Linked DNA regions of Schizosaccharomyces pombe. Changing the gene in region 3 together with the main gene of any one other region gives a genetic interaction. Each region holds a gene or a part of one and is shown on either strand. Other genes may lie near its edges.

Evidence for each region. Genes that interact genetically often act in the same process or in processes that back each other up.
Region 1: mutations in gtb1 (region 3) and ccr4 impair growth when combined (synthetic growth defect), as found in Schizosaccharomyces pombe (one study listed by BioGRID).
Region 2: mutations in gtb1 (region 3) and pkl1 are lethal when combined (synthetic lethality), as found in Schizosaccharomyces pombe (2 studies listed by BioGRID).

The regions. Positions count from the first base shown.
Region 1 is NC_003421.2:636,907-641,560, reverse strand, and holds ccr4 (CCR4-Not complex subunit Ccr4), read left to right. Parts: upstream 1-1,937; 5' UTR 1,938-2,027; coding exon 2,028-4,100; 3' UTR 4,101-4,126; downstream 4,127-4,654. Other genes in the region: taf5 (transcription initiation factor TFIID subunit 5), read left to right, coding at 1-730, 787-955, 1,005-1,269, 1,320-1,416. UniProt on the Schizosaccharomyces pombe protein: Acts as a catalytic component of the CCR4-NOT core complex, which in the nucleus seems to be a general transcription factor, and in the cytoplasm the major mRNA deadenylase involved in mRNA turnover.
Region 2 is NC_003424.3:3,437,220-3,442,645, reverse strand, and holds pkl1 (kinesin-14 family minus-end directed microtubule motor Pkl1), read right to left. Parts: upstream 3,757-5,426; 5' UTR 3,714-3,756; coding exon 3,702-3,713; intron 3,664-3,701; exon of another isoform or gene 3,660-3,663; coding exon 3,026-3,659; intron 2,973-3,025; coding exon 1,285-2,972; intron 1,160-1,284; coding exon 995-1,159; 3' UTR 960-994; coding exon of another isoform or gene 851-959; 3' UTR 723-850; coding exon of another isoform or gene 598-722; 3' UTR 529-597; downstream 1-528. Other genes in the region: pfd6 (prefoldin subunit 6), read left to right, coding at 359-398, 449-519, 598-722, 851-959; U5 snRNP-associated protein Aar2, read left to right, coding at 4,585-5,426.
Region 3 is NC_003423.3:2,789,716-2,794,712, forward strand, and holds gtb1 (gamma-tubulin Gtb1), read left to right. Parts: upstream 1-1,635; 5' UTR 1,636-1,754; coding exon 1,755-1,803; exon of another isoform or gene 1,804-1,865; coding exon 1,866-1,978; exon of another isoform or gene 1,979-2,027; coding exon 2,028-2,081; exon of another isoform or gene 2,082-2,150; coding exon 2,151-2,627; exon of another isoform or gene 2,628-2,671; coding exon 2,672-3,136; intron 3,137-3,186; coding exon 3,187-3,302; intron 3,303-3,360; coding exon 3,361-3,427; 3' UTR 3,428-3,506; coding exon of another isoform or gene 3,507-4,012; 3' UTR 4,013-4,103; coding exon of another isoform or gene 4,104-4,236; 3' UTR 4,237-4,297; coding exon of another isoform or gene 4,298-4,312; 3' UTR 4,313-4,469; downstream 4,470-4,997. Other genes in the region: protein Cwf12, read right to left, coding at 3,507-4,012, 4,104-4,236, 4,298-4,312. UniProt on the Schizosaccharomyces pombe protein: Tubulin is the major constituent of microtubules. The gamma chain is found at microtubule organizing centers (MTOC) such as the spindle poles or the centrosome, suggesting that it is involved in the minus-end nucleation of microtubule assembly.

The DNA.
Region 1 (4,654 bases), on a different chromosome or scaffold from region 3:
GCAACAAATGCCAATGGACAAAGAAATGGAAAAAATTGTAGAGATGGACTTAGAAGAAGAGGATATGATGCACCAAAACGATCCAAATAACCAATCTCCAAAACTATTAAAAGAATTTAGAAAGCTGCATGAACCTAATGCTGAAGATGCTCCGTCTAGAGATTATATCCCTCTTCCTCCTCATAAAGGTGTTGATATTCTTTCAGAAGTTGAGGCTGTGAAAGATTGGAGTAAAAGATTACATCTTGGACCTAGAGCCTCCCTTCCTAGTGTTTGTATGTACACATTCCATCACACCAATAACAACATGAACTGTGCTGAATTTTCTCCTGACTCCACAATGATCGCCTGTGGTTTTCAAGAAAGTTATATACGGCTATGGTCAATAAAGGCTGACAAAAAATCATTACCTAAGTCAACTTCTGTAGAGGATTCAGATGGCTCAGTACGTTTACTGAGTCATTCTGGTCCTGTTTACGGCACCACATTTTCTCCCGATAATAAATATTTACTATCTTGTTCCGAAGATGCTAGCGCCCGGCTGTGGTCTGTTGACACAAAAACTGCTTTGGTAGCTTACAAGGGACATACTGGCCCGGTTTGGGATGTTGCCTTTGGTCCGTTTGGTCATTACTTCGCTACTGCTTCTCATGACCAGACTGCACAACTTTGGAGCTGTGATCATATATACCCACTTAGAGTTTTTGCTGGGCATTTAAGTGATGTAGACGTATGATTATTATCTTTTTTAAGAAATGTGTTTCCTTATGACTGACTTGTATTTAGTGCGTTACCTTTCATCCAAACTCCGCTTATGTGCTAACTGGATCAAGCGATAAAACATGCAGGCTTTGGGATGTACATAGAGGACATTCTGTTCGTGTTTTTAATGGACATACCCAACCGGTAACTGCTGTTGCGATTGCCCCAGATGGTCATACTATGGCAAGTGCTGGTATGTTATACATTTGTTATTACTAATGATTTTACTAATTTGATTAAAGACAGTGAAGGTCTAATTCACCTTTGGGACATAGGAACAGGAAGGCGTATAAAGACAATGCGAGGTCACAGAGGCAACATATACTCTTTGTCATTTTCTCGCGAATCCACGGTCCTCGTTAGCGGAGGGTCAGATTGTACTGTGAGAGCTTGGGACGTTTTCAAAACTAATTACAACAATCCTGTTTCTTCTTCTCTAACGGGAAGTGTTGTTACACCTTTCTCTGCTAAAACATCCACATTTAATGAAGTCAATTGGTCTACAAGGTATGAGAAAATGTAATGGAATCGATATATTTACTAACCTTCTCAAACAGTCCGGATCAAATGGTAGCTCTTTATACGAAGCAAACCCCTATATTTAATGTCTCCTTTACGCGTCGTAACCTTTGCTTAGCAATAAGCGTTAGTTAGATAAATAAACCTTTTTTGATCTTCAATATGTTTCTTCCCGTCCATACTTTAAGAAATTTGGCATTATATAAAAAAAGATTATAAAAAATTTAATTTAAATATTAAACATTATCTTACTTTACGATAATGAGTCAACAACTAACTGCCTTTTAACAACTTTGAGACATCCATGTATCGGAATCGAAATTAGGCTGAATAATTCATATTTGATGTTCCGGAAAAGCTTTTAATATTATAAACTTCATAAAGGACTTCTGATGATACATTATATATTAAATTTTTCAGTAGCTCCAATATTTACATAGACCATAACAGCGCTAAACATAAGCTAAAATAATTTCATGTTTGGACCCTAAATTATATTATTTAGAAAAAAAATTAATAATATGAATTAATTGAAAGCATTCATATGCAATTATATACCTAAAAAACGATTAACAGGACACTGAGTTTTCGTCTCAAATCTTGGTGGTGAGCTTTCGTATCCCACCTATAAGCTATCACGGGGTTCGACTCTTGCCGTTCACCAACAACCTCACTTTTATTGTATATATAGTGAATGTTGTAAATTAGAATTCATCTCGACTTTGATATTTTGCGAGATACCGTCTATGTTTAATCCTAGGTATACGCAAGGTACAATTTATCCAGGAGCGCACCCGGGGCTGTTGACGCCAGACCATCAACATGCAGCAATATTATCTGTACAGAATTCGCCAGCTTTAGAAAATAGTAATATTTCTGAACATTGGAAACAGCAAATTGCACTTGCAACTCAGTCCAGGTCCTTCAGTTCACCACACCAACGAGCTCATAATGCTGCGGCTTTAGCACGAAGTGGAGGACCTGGGTTTTCGATGAATTACAATGCTCGGACTGGAGCTTTTACCGGAGGCCCTAATGCTGCTGGCTTATCCTCGTTAGGGGGAAAGTACAATACTAGCTCCACTACTACAACATTGACGACCTCAACAACATTAAACACTTCCAGTGGTACTACCTTAAACAGTACGTCAAAAACAACCACTTCTTCTGTTGCGGTTGATGACCAAAAGTCGAAATCTGACTCTAAGAAAGAGAGACGGGATTGGACTTGTTTGGACCTTGGTGGTATTGGTTTGAGAAATGTGAGCACTGATTTATTTAAATTCTCTTTTTTGACTGAATTATACATAAACCATAATAATCTTACCCGATTACCACCTGAAATTGGCAAACTGAAGAATTTGGTTATTTTGGATGCCTCTGGAAACAGCATTAAAACTATTCCACCAGAGCTTGGTTTACTTACTGAGCTTAGAGAAGTCCTATTGTTTGATAATATGATTAGTGTAATACCTGCCGAACTCGGTACCCTTTTCCAATTGAAAATTCTTGGTATTGAAGGTAATCCTCTTCAAGACGTTTACAAGAATCAAATCATGGAAAGTGGTACTGCAGGTTTAATTGCTGCTTTGCGCGATGGTTGCCCTGTTGGCCCTCCTCCTCCTGAGCGTGGATGGGAAAAACTTGTTTCCGATGATGATGATGATGTTAATGACAATGTTTCAACCTCTGTTAGAGATTTAACGGCTGCTGATTCTAACAAGCCCTCTACAACATCTAAGAATCTCAAGTTTACTATTATGAGTTATAATGTGCTTTGTGAACGTTATGCTACATCCACATTGTATGGCTATACTCCTTCATGGGCACTCTCTTGGTCGTATCGCAAAGATTTAATCATGCAAGAATTAGGTGGTTATAATGCTGATATCATTTGTTTGCAAGAAGTTGATGTTGAGAACTATGATACTTTTTTTGCTCCACAAATGAGTTTGAAAGGTTATAAAGGTGTCCACTTCCCGAAAAGTCGCGTACGAACTATGAATGAGGTTGAACGTCGCATCGTCGATGGTTGTGCTACATTTTTCAAAACATCTAAATATGTCATGCACGAAAAGATGGTGATAGAATATAATCAAGCACCATCTCTTCGTAGGCAAGACATTAAACTAACGTCTAACATGTACAACCGTGTTATGACTAAAGATAACATTAGTGTGATTACTCTTCTTGAGAATAAGGAAAATGGATCGCGATTGATCGTTGCAAATTGTCATATTCATTGGGATCCTCAGTTTAGGGATGTCAAGGTTATACAAGTTGCAATGCTCATGGATGAGATTGCACAGGTTGCAACAAAATTCCGTAATATGCCTTCCAAGATTCCTTCTGACCAGTTAAAGGATGAAAGACCTACCTATCCCGAGTATTTAAAGATCCCCATCTTAATTTGTGGAGATTTTAATTCCGTCCAAGGCAGTGGTGTTTATGACTTTTTATCATCTGGTAGCATTAGCCAAAATCATGAAGATTTTATGAATAATGATTACGGAGAATACACTGTTAATGGACGTTCTCATGCATTTAATTTGAAATCTGCATATGGTGAATCTGAAGCTCTCTCCTTCACTAACTATACACCTGGCTTTAAGGGTGCCATTGATCACATTTGGTACACCGGCAATAGCTTGGAGGTAACCGGTTTGTTGAAAGGAGTGGATAAAGATTATCTTTCCGGCGTTGTTGGTTTCCCTAACGCACACTTCCCTAGTGATCATATTTGCTTGCTGGCCGAGTTTAAAGTGAAACAGGAGAAGACACCCTTACCTTCATCAAAGTTTAACAATGATAAAAAATGATTGTTAGTTTTTGTCGTGTTTGTAGATTTTAGAGTGATACTTAGTAGCAAGTAGATGGATTTGATGTATGATTCTGCATTTCGCAAGTACCAGGTATTTGGTTAAGTTTACATAGATATCAAAGCAGTGTAATTTTCCTTGTCGTAATAATTTGAATAGATAAATTGTAAATCATTGAGGTTTCGTTTTTGTTTACGTAGTTATTCGTTTTACTTTTATTGGAAATTAGCATTAACAAGGGGTGAACCGCCACACATCGTACTGATGGTTTGCATTAAAACGTTGATTTTTTTATTTTCATAATAAAAATGAGCTTCGCCATTTCATCAACATTCAACCATCTCTAAAAATCGATTGTGTTGAAGATATCCTTATTTTGCTCAACATAACTTCACAAAAAATTCATAAAATATTTATCTATTTTAAAAAACCAACAAATTACAACGAGCGTAATACTAGAGAAATATAACATCAGTAAACGAAATAATATTGATAAGCAAGACTATGCTATCCTAGACTCAAGCCAAAAGTGCTGAAATTTTAATCATTCATTA
Region 2 (5,426 bases), on a different chromosome or scaffold from region 3:
TTTCATATCCTTTATTCAAAAAAAAGGTTTGCAATTCACTAATTTATATACTGAACCAAGTAGTTTTGTTGTATCAAAACAGTGAGTCTTTACTCAAAATTTCAGCAACACCTTCATTCACTCATTCATAAATCGATTTCCTAGTGTAGCTTACATTTCTCTGTTTAAATTAATTCGGTTTTATTTATTTCTCGTTTTTATCCAATATAGTCATAAAATCAATCATATCACACAATTAAAATATATTTTGTTCATAATATAGAATTTCAACGAACTTCGCTATTTCAGCTGACTTTCAAGGTAAGTAGAATGTCTCTTTACCTACTATCCTTTTACGTCTTTTTACACAGGAATAGAAATGGAGGAATTAGCTAAAAAATATCAGAACCTACAAACAGGTAAATCAAAACCTTCTGCATCGAATTAAATAATTAACGAAATTCCCAAGAACTAAGCACTTATGTCGAAAGTTTAAAAAAGTTGGAAACCCAATTACAAGAAAACACTACTGTCCTCAATGTACGTTAAGGCCACAAAAATTACTATTTTCCCTATTTTCTCCATTTATATTAGAATTGTTTTGTTAATGCGAATTAGGAATTGGAAAAAGTGGCTCCTGACTCAAATATATATAAGCAAATCGGTCCTACCCTTGTAAAGCAAAGTCATGAGGAAGCAAAGACCAACGTTAAAACAAGATTGGATTTCATTAATAAAGAAATGTATGTTTGTTGAAATTTGAAAAAGAAGAATTTCCTTGAGGTTAAAATCGCTCTCTAAAAATGCGAGTTGTACTTCTTCATTTGTATTATCGAATTGCGTATGTCATTTTATTAATTCATAATTATAGTGCACGCCTCGAAAATCAAACAAAAATCTCACAAGAAGAATTCAGCAAAGTTAAAGGTGCCATCATTCAAGCACAAGCAGCAGCTGCTCCACCAAACCCAGCATCTTAAATGCTTTGGTAAACATTTTTTACTCTAAAATAAGCTTAACGTTTATAATGTTTAATAGAACCTACTTTTGTATCATTGACTTTTGTTGCAAATCGCAGACTATTTAATGTATCCATGAATTGCGACTTTAAAGGAGACACATTAACAAACATCAGGGTTTTGGCACCTTTTCCAAGTGAATATTTTAACAAATAAGTTAGCTAATGTCTGGTTAGTACAAAAATGCTTTCAATATAGACTTTACACACTGCTGCAAAGCAAATAAGTAGCCACTTTGACAGTTAAAGAACGTGTTTCGTAAAGAACTTTTCATTCTAATACTCACCTTTGAATTTCGGTATGGTATGTGAGACTTTTCCTTCGTGGTACTATTTGAGGCATTTCCAAGTGCATGGATAACATCGCCAAGACAGCTGAGACTTTTATTAATAGCTTGCGTTTCTCGTAGTCTATCCCCAACTGCCTGACTGTAACTTAACCGCTCAGAACCTGCCAAATCAACTAGATTTAGCGTACCTTTACATATTTGTTTGGTTCTAGAATTTTCACCATCTATATACAGCATGAAAACAGTGTGTGATCTTGAAGACCGTTCATTTGCTTTTGTCGCTGCTATAAATCGATTTTCTCCTGCTCGATTTAGCATCTTGTAAACAGTATCTTCTTCATTAAAATCAATTATTGAAACGTTATCCACTGTTGTTCGTCTTTCCTTTTCATCATGATGAATATCGTGCTTAGGATTTTTCAACATTTCCGCTTTGTTTAATAGATCATAAATCGTTTCATTGTAAATTTCCAAAAACTGACCTCTCAATTTATACACCCACCCTTTCTCCCTCAAGGTTGATAGATAATTAAATATATGCTTAATTGACATCGCTATCATACCGTCTTGTGACGACATTGTGTACGTCTTACCCGATCCTGTTTGTCCATATGCAAATATACTAACATTATAACCATCAATAGCGCTTTGAATTAACTGTGATATTTCCTCAAAAACGGACGAGTTATCGCTTTCAGGAGCAAAGACTCGATCAAAGGAAAATTCATAATTACGATCATAAGTATGCCCGAGTGATGATTCAACATTAGGCCCTTTAAGAATAAGTTTTTGTGGCTCTAGTGCGTCTTTATCTGGAAATTGTAAAACATCAGCAATGCAATATTCGGATTCTTCACTTGGGAGTAGTGGTCTAACCCTACAAAAAACTCGAATATTTCCCTTTAGTTCTTGAATGTCGTTATGCAGCTTTCGTCTGATTATTTCTTCTGCTAACAGTTTATTATACATATCTTCATTTCTCCGTTCCAGCTGTTGGATTCGAGCTTGTAGTTCCAATGCGTTCTGGCCATTATTTCTTTCTTTATCTTGAATACTTGCAACATATTTAGAAAGTTCTTCAAGTTTTTCAGATGTAGAGTGGTGTTTATGCTCTTCCTTTAACAGTTTATTTCGAAGCATGTCAATTTCAGCTAACTTGTCTTCTAATTCTATACGCAGAGAGGAGATTTTTTCTTCATATTCTTTTTCCGAGTATGATTTTTCCGATTCATATTCTTTTACTGCCATTTCCAACTCAGATATTCTCCTTTTAAGCTTTTTAACCGTTAAATCATTCTCATATTCAATGTGGGATATTCGATCATTTTCTTCTTGTTGTTTCATTTCTAATAAGTCCAGAATTTTTTCTTTAAAACGCAAAATTTTCTCAGTACAAGAACCTTGTATCAGCACTAGAGCTCTCCGAAGTGATTCACAAATATTGGCATATTCATGTTTATATGACTTTACTTCGTTCTCAACAAAATCCCCAAAGGATTTTCGTTCACCATTTAGATTACAAACTAGAGAATGTGTTTTCTTTTCATGATAAAGTGCAAGTTCTTTGTGTTCTCGACGTAGCTTTTGGTAGCTTGCATTCGCAGCTTCTAACCTTTCCTTGGCTTCCTTCAACTGGATATTCGATATCGATAATTCAGAGGAAAGATTTTCTTTTGTTTCTAAAACTTTAAAATAGTTAGTAATCAAATAAAGTCAGCATAAAGACATGTATTCTTACTATCTTGCTTGGCCTTTTCTGCTGCCTCTCTGTATGATTGAAGTTGTAACGAATATTCATGATCCTTTTCAGCGTAAACCTGTTCTTGTACCTGAAGATGTGATCTAAGGTTCAAGTATGCAGACTCAATATCATCGGTTTCGTCTTTCGATAATAAACGATGTTCGCCATTAGATAGCATATGCAACCTTTCTAACTGTATAATATTTTTTGGTTTGCTTTTTAAATCTTTTATTCTCTTTAATGTATTAGAAGAAGCCATAGCTTGATCACTCTCGTAGGCTAACGTTGATTCGCATATTGTTTTATGAGATTCAATGAGATCTTTTAATTGAGGCAGCCAACTCTCTTTAAATTTGGAAACAGATTCTTCGTAATTAGATTCATGAGTAGAAGCAATTGGCGCTGTGACTACAGCGGCCTTGTCTCGATTGCTGTCCCTCTTCTTGCCATTAATGTCGCTTTGTAAAACGTGATTTTTTGATACGAAATTTTCGTATTTCAAATCATGTACTGCATCCTCTTGATTTGTTTTAATAATTTTTTTTGGTCGATATATTAAGTCCTCAGAATCTGTGTTTAAAGCATCTTCCTGTCGTTTATACCCTGTGTTTATGGAAATGTCCTTTGTATTCTTTCGCATTAATAAGATAAGTTACTCAGAAGTACCTCTTACCTCAATTACCATCTATAAGTTAAAAAGAGCGTTTTATAGAGTAATTCTTCCCAATACTATAAACACGAATTTATCAGCTCGACAAAACAGATTTTGATTAGCAGATGCTTTAAGAAACGTAAAACTATTTTACGTGGGTTAAATATGAGTGTTAAATTGTTAAGCAAATTCCAATGCTACGCATCATTATATGTCTCAAGCCTCTCGTGTATATCCATCTATGTTATTAATCAATGGTGTATAGAATACAATTGATTCCATTAACAAATAGTACTTAAGTAATATTATTTATATTATGTAATTCCACATTCCCTGATTGATTTTTGGAATATCTCAAACAAATTCAGTGTATCCTTACGTGTCTTTAAGTGAATTACAAAGTCCGCGGAAATGTGTAACACTACCTAAAATTTCGGTGAGCTTATATTACGATTTGCCATGTAGCGGTAGGTTGTACGTTTAACTAACAATTGTTACTTTTATTACTTTAAAGAAGTCTAATAGTGTCCAGTCAGCGATCTAGCTAACGACTAAACTAAAGGAGCGAGGTTCAGTTGTAGCTTTATTTAAAATGTCTCGATTAATTTATATCAATTGGAATATATTTAGATAGATGGAATTTTATCCGTAACTATGAATAAATAGATCTTAACTACTATTCTAGCAGGCGATATTTAGTGATACGAAACGATGTATATTATAGCGTAGTGTAGAATTGCTGACACCCAAAAACCTTTAATGTATTATGGTGTTTTTTATAATATCCATCGCTATAACTCTTAAATCAGTAGCCTGAAACTTAGCTTTGACCAATGTCTACGATCTTAAATTCAACTTAATAGACAAAATAAATGAAGATATGGAATAATTTGTTTTGTATATAATGAGTATAGAGTTTGTCGGATGGTTAAATACATATTACGTTGGCATTGATCAGAGTTCATATGAAGCTAGTAAGCTTCCAGGTATTCGAAATGTAAAAGGTGGAATTCATCTTTTCACTTGGTCTCCAACATACCCTGCTGGATTAATTTCTGGAGTTTTTGCTATGGTCCATGAAGATATGAAATATAGTATCGACTTTGATTCGAAATCTGAAACAGCTTCTTTGCAGAAGCTTGATGTATTATATGACGAAAACTTTTATCCCTTTGAATCAACAAAGGATTGGGACTTGTTGACGAAGTTCATTACAGTTCAAGATCTTCAAAGAATTTTTGCTACTGAAGGTGAATTTTTCTACTTAGACACTTCAACGTATGTCAACGCTGATCTTGTGTCACAAGATCCGGAATTCTCAAAACCCTCTCGAGACGATAAACTATTAAATTTCGCTGAATTCAATTTACGACGAAGCTGGTCGCCGTCTGCCACTGGACCTGAACGGTCTAAGCAAGCAATTGATAAATCGTTTTTGTTTCAAAGACTCGTCCAAAGCGTGTGGAATGACAATCCCATCTCTGCATTAGCGGAATTATCAATTTCCTTTCTGAGCTACTCTATTCTCTCCCACTATGGTGCTTTGGAGCATTGGAAGAATATGTTGAGTTTGCTATTGCAGTCTTATGAATTGGCGGAAACTGAACCAGAGTTTTACGCTTCCTTTTTGGAGCTTTTCAAACTTCAGCTTAGCTCACTAAGTGAATCCGACTTAGAAACGTCTGCCATTTTTGAGAAAGGCGTTTTACTATCTTGCCTTGATAGTCTAAGTGAAAGGAAAGTGGA
Region 3 (4,997 bases):
AAATTCCAAGGAAGAAAAGTCGGATCGCATTTATCAAAAGAAATCTTATTTATTTAATCAGTCTCACATTCTTTTTCCTTTGTTTGCTGCTTTTAAAGTTAAAAAAAGGATATGTCGCAGTATACTGCCATTGTCTTTTGTCAACATACCACCAAAATGACAGAAATTTTTGCTGCTATTTAGTAAAAATATTTCAAATTTCGTATTTGTAAAGGTTATGCATAGAATGGCTGAGACTCATACTTAAACAGTATAGGTATCTAAACATTGTATGGGGCGATTGTAGCAGCAAACGATTAAGTAGTTTGCGTTAGTTACAACACCTAGTAATGGTTTGCTACCTTTTGTTTAAAATAATAGTAGACGAGATTGCCAATGGCCGATGTTGTTTATCTTAAAGTTGAAAGTGAAGCGAAACCTTTTTCTAACTTTAAGAGTGGGATTTCTTCCATCCAAAAGAATATGCACTGCAACAAGATATAGGACACAGGCAAATTATTTGACAAAAACAAGGAACCGTATAACTACTTTTTTACTTTAATCTACAAATAAATTAGTAGGATGTAGAAAAAGGTATCAGTGATAGATTATTTATGTATTATCTTAAAAGTATTGTTTTTTGCCCTTTGAAGGGCAAAAAGCAAAAAGGATCAAAATTATGCTCCAGCAGTGACTTGAACACTGGGCCTCTTGCTTACTAGGCAAGCGCTCTACCACTGAGCTACAAGAGCTAGTTGGAATCATTTGCTAAAAGGTATATATATATGCATAACTATTAAGAAATGCTCAGTATTTTTTTGAAATAGAAAATGTTGATATTCGGTTTCTATTATTAAGTTTTAAATTCCAAACATTGTAAATATGTCGTCGTTCTTTACATTCTTTTTTTAATAAATCTTGGTTTAAGTTAAAACCCAATTTTACAAGCTCGCAACTTTGTTGTTAATAAAAAAAAATGTTACACCTGCTAAATAAATATTAAAATCAAACTGTTGTTGTGTGGTATTACCTTATTGAGCTTAATTATAATTTCAGTAAAAATTTATGTTCAATTTTTTTTTTTACTTTCAATTAATTTATTTATTTATTAATTTGTAAAATATTTAGACCTTTGCCAAATAATTATTTGTTAATTTTTCATTTTCTACAATCTGTATTAATTAAGATAAAATTGTCTTCAAAAATACTTTTAGTTTTTGGAAAATCATTTGTTTCAGTGTTTGAGTATCCACATGAATTGTCTAATTTTATATCACTATTATTTTTTTATTCGAACACTCATAAATTGTGTCTATTGTGTTACTTTCAATTTTAATATTTACATTCAAAGTTGCATATATTTTTTACGAAATAATGTACTAAATGATTTAGAAATATTTAGATACGATAGTAATCAATACTAAATTTTATGACACATTCTAAATTCACTTACTTTGGCTTTCTAATTTCCTGTTAGAAAAATTGTCATTCCTAATTGAATTTTGCAGCAATGCTCGAATCAGCTCCAAGGTTGATAAATTTATAGTCAAGAAATATGTAATTATTTATAATAATCTAGTCTAGTTGACCTGGAAAATGTTTGCTTTTCTTACTACCAACCTTCTCTTATCGACCTACAGTTCACCCAAGCACAGCGAAATACCTCAAGATACCCTTCTTTTGAAAACCACCTATTTCAGCAAAAAATCTTTCGCGGTTGTACTTTTAAGTAAGAAGCAAACATCAAAGATTGTTTGCTCCTTCATTGTTTAATCATGGGCAGAGAAATCATTACGTTACAAGCTGGTCAATGTGGTAATCAAAGTATGTTCACCTATACTACTATTAATCAAATCGAAATTCTAATTACTCACAAACTTGTCTAGTTGGTTCACAATTCTGGCAACAGTTGTGTTTGGAACATGGCATTGGGCCTGATGGCACGCTAGAAAGTTTCGCAACTGAGGGTGTTGATCGAAAAGACGTTTTTTTCTACCAGGTTGGTTTATTGATACACTTTAAAGTTTCAACATGTTAACTCATTTTAGTCTGATGATACTAGATACATTCCTAGAGCCATTTTGATTGATCTGGAACCAAGAGTATGTTATCGCATCCTTTTATTAGTATTTGCTGAAATATTCAAGTGACTAATGTCCTCTTTACCTTAGGTGGTCAACAATATTCTAAGCGACACCTACGGCAGCCTTTATAATCCCGAAAATATACTTATTACCAAAAATGGAGGAGGTGCTGGCAATAATTGGGCTAATGGTTATTCGCATGCTGAGAGGATTTTTGAAGATATAATGGACATGATAGATCGTGAAGCTGATGGAAGTGATTCTCTAGAGGGTTTCTCGCTTTTACATTCTATCGCTGGTGGAACGGGTTCTGGGCTGGGCTCTTTCTTGCTTGAGAGATTAAACGATCGTTATCCCAAGAAGATTATCCAAACTTATTCAGTATTCCCTAATAGTCAATCCGTATCAGATGTTGTGGTTCAGCCTTACAACAGTCTTCTTGCATTGAAGCGACTGACATTGAATGCTGATTCTGTTGTTGTGTTGGACAATGCAGCACTTGCTCATATTGCTGCTGATCGGTTACATACTCAGAACCCTACGTTTCATCAACAAAACCAATTGGTAATTGATTTATATTAGGTCTTTTCATCAACTAACTATTCTAGGTTTCAACTGTTATGTCTGCCAGTACAACAACTTTAAGATATCCTGGCTACATGAACAACGATCTTGTCAGTATAATAGCTTCATTAATTCCAAGTCCTCGCTGTCACTTTTTACTAACCTCATACACTCCTTTTACCAATCAGCAAGTGGAAGAAGCAAAGGCCATTCGGAAAACTACCGTGCTTGATGTGATGAGAAGGTTGTTGTTGCCTAAAAACCAGATGGTTTCCGTCAATCCTAGCAAAAAGAGTTGCTTTATTAGTATTTTGGATATCATTCAAGGAGAAGCAGATCCGGCGGACGTTCACAAATCCTTGCTTCGCATAAGAGAACGACGATACGCTTCATTCATTCCTTGGGGACCAGCAAGTATACAAGTTGCACTTTCTAAAAAGTCGCCCTATATAAAAACGAACCACCGTGTTAGTGGACTTATGCTTGCAAATCACACTAGTATTGCCTCTGTATGTTTCTGCAAATTTTTTTTTGAGACATTTAATACTAATCTTTGTAGTTATTCAAGAGAACACTAGATCAATATGATCGTTTGCGGAAACGAAATGCCTTTTTAGAGCAATATAAAAAGGAGGCTATTTTCGAAGATGATCTTAACGAATTCGATTCTTCTCGGTAAGTATCTTGTCTTATAATTTCATATTTTGAGTTAATTTACTAATGTATTTGACAGCGACGTCGTTGCCGACTTGATCAATGAATACGAAGCTTGTGAAGATCCCAATTATTTATCTCTTTAAAAAATCCTTCATAGTTTACGATGTCAAAGCAGACTTAAAATATAAAATTAATTCTCCTATCCTAGTCCTACTTCATAATCTATGAAATTCTGCTCAGCAAAGCATTTTTACGCCTTTCTAAAAGAATGGCTTCAACATCGTCTCTAGTTGGTATTTGCTCAATGACAAGAGGTTTCCAATCTTGTTCAACTTCATCACCAAGGTTCTCAAGATGTTTATGTTGTTGTTCTTCAATCTTTGCCTCAAAATCTTCTAATAGACTCTCTTGTGCTGGCGGTATGTAACCAAAGTACCAGGCGTCTAACCTTCTTTTCTGCATCTCCTGTTTGCGCTGTCTTTCCGGTATAAAACTCATATCAGCTTCAAAAAGTTCCTTAACGCCAGGTAACTCTCGAGCTCTTCCGTAATAACGATAATCGTCTATATCACTGATTTGTTCTCCTTCATCCTCAAATAGCTTTGCTTTATTATACAGATAATTAATCCCACCCAGATCACGAATTTGTACCTCCCATTCGTGTTTTTCACGCATCAATCGATTAATTGCATCGTTCAAATCTCGAATTTGATATTCAGGCAACGTTGCTATTCATGGTTAGAATACACAGAAATGATAAAAGCGGAATCAAGTTTAGCAAGTTAATTAAATTTGCTAATAAAACAATCTAGGACGTACCACTTTGAATTCGAGAGATCTTGCGAGAGATATCTTTTACTACACTAGCCCTATGTTTTTCACATATCGGCACAGACTTAATGCTTTTTATATCCTTGGGTCTCTTTTCCGTTGGTTTGCTGCCCACTACATACTATAACAAAGGGGTTAGTGACTGACGCTTAGGTTCTCATGCATATTCGTATGAACCTTACTTTCGCTGATGACATTGTAAAATTAAATGAAAATGATAGACTTGGTAATTAAAAAAATAGAGAAGGAAAGGCTCATTAAAATTTGACACAGAAAATAAATAATATAGACAAGTTTTATGGTATTTATCGAAATCAAGGCAAACCCAACACTTAATTAATTGACCTTCAACAGCCAATTCTTATTTAAGTACTTGAAAATTTGCTCAAGTTCCACCGATTGTGAAGACAAGCAAAAAACTTATAAGCAAGAAATTGAATGCATACAAGTAGTTATTTCGTGTAAGAAACACTTTATAAAACGGAAAAGAACAGCCAAAGTGAATAAGCTTATTGAAGCGCAACAAGCTTCTTAATTCATGGATAACGAAGTCCTCTTCTAAAAAAAGTACTAGTCTAAATAGTAACTAAGTATTTTATGTTCACTACAATTAAAGGATGATATTATTGCATAAATGGTCCCTTTCAAAATGATTACCACTTTTAATCCATCGTATTCAATATACTGTCAAGAATTAGGCAATTGTTGATGAAGTAGGTAACATCAATCATTTGGAAAAGTTCATTTCATCTCTTTGGTATCGGCTTTAACCTAAAAAAGAGTTGTTTATAAGAGATTAGCAGAACGATTTATAAGTATACAGTTGATTTTTTGAATATCTTACAAAGACTTAAAATTAAACAATCGTTGAGACCGTCAAAA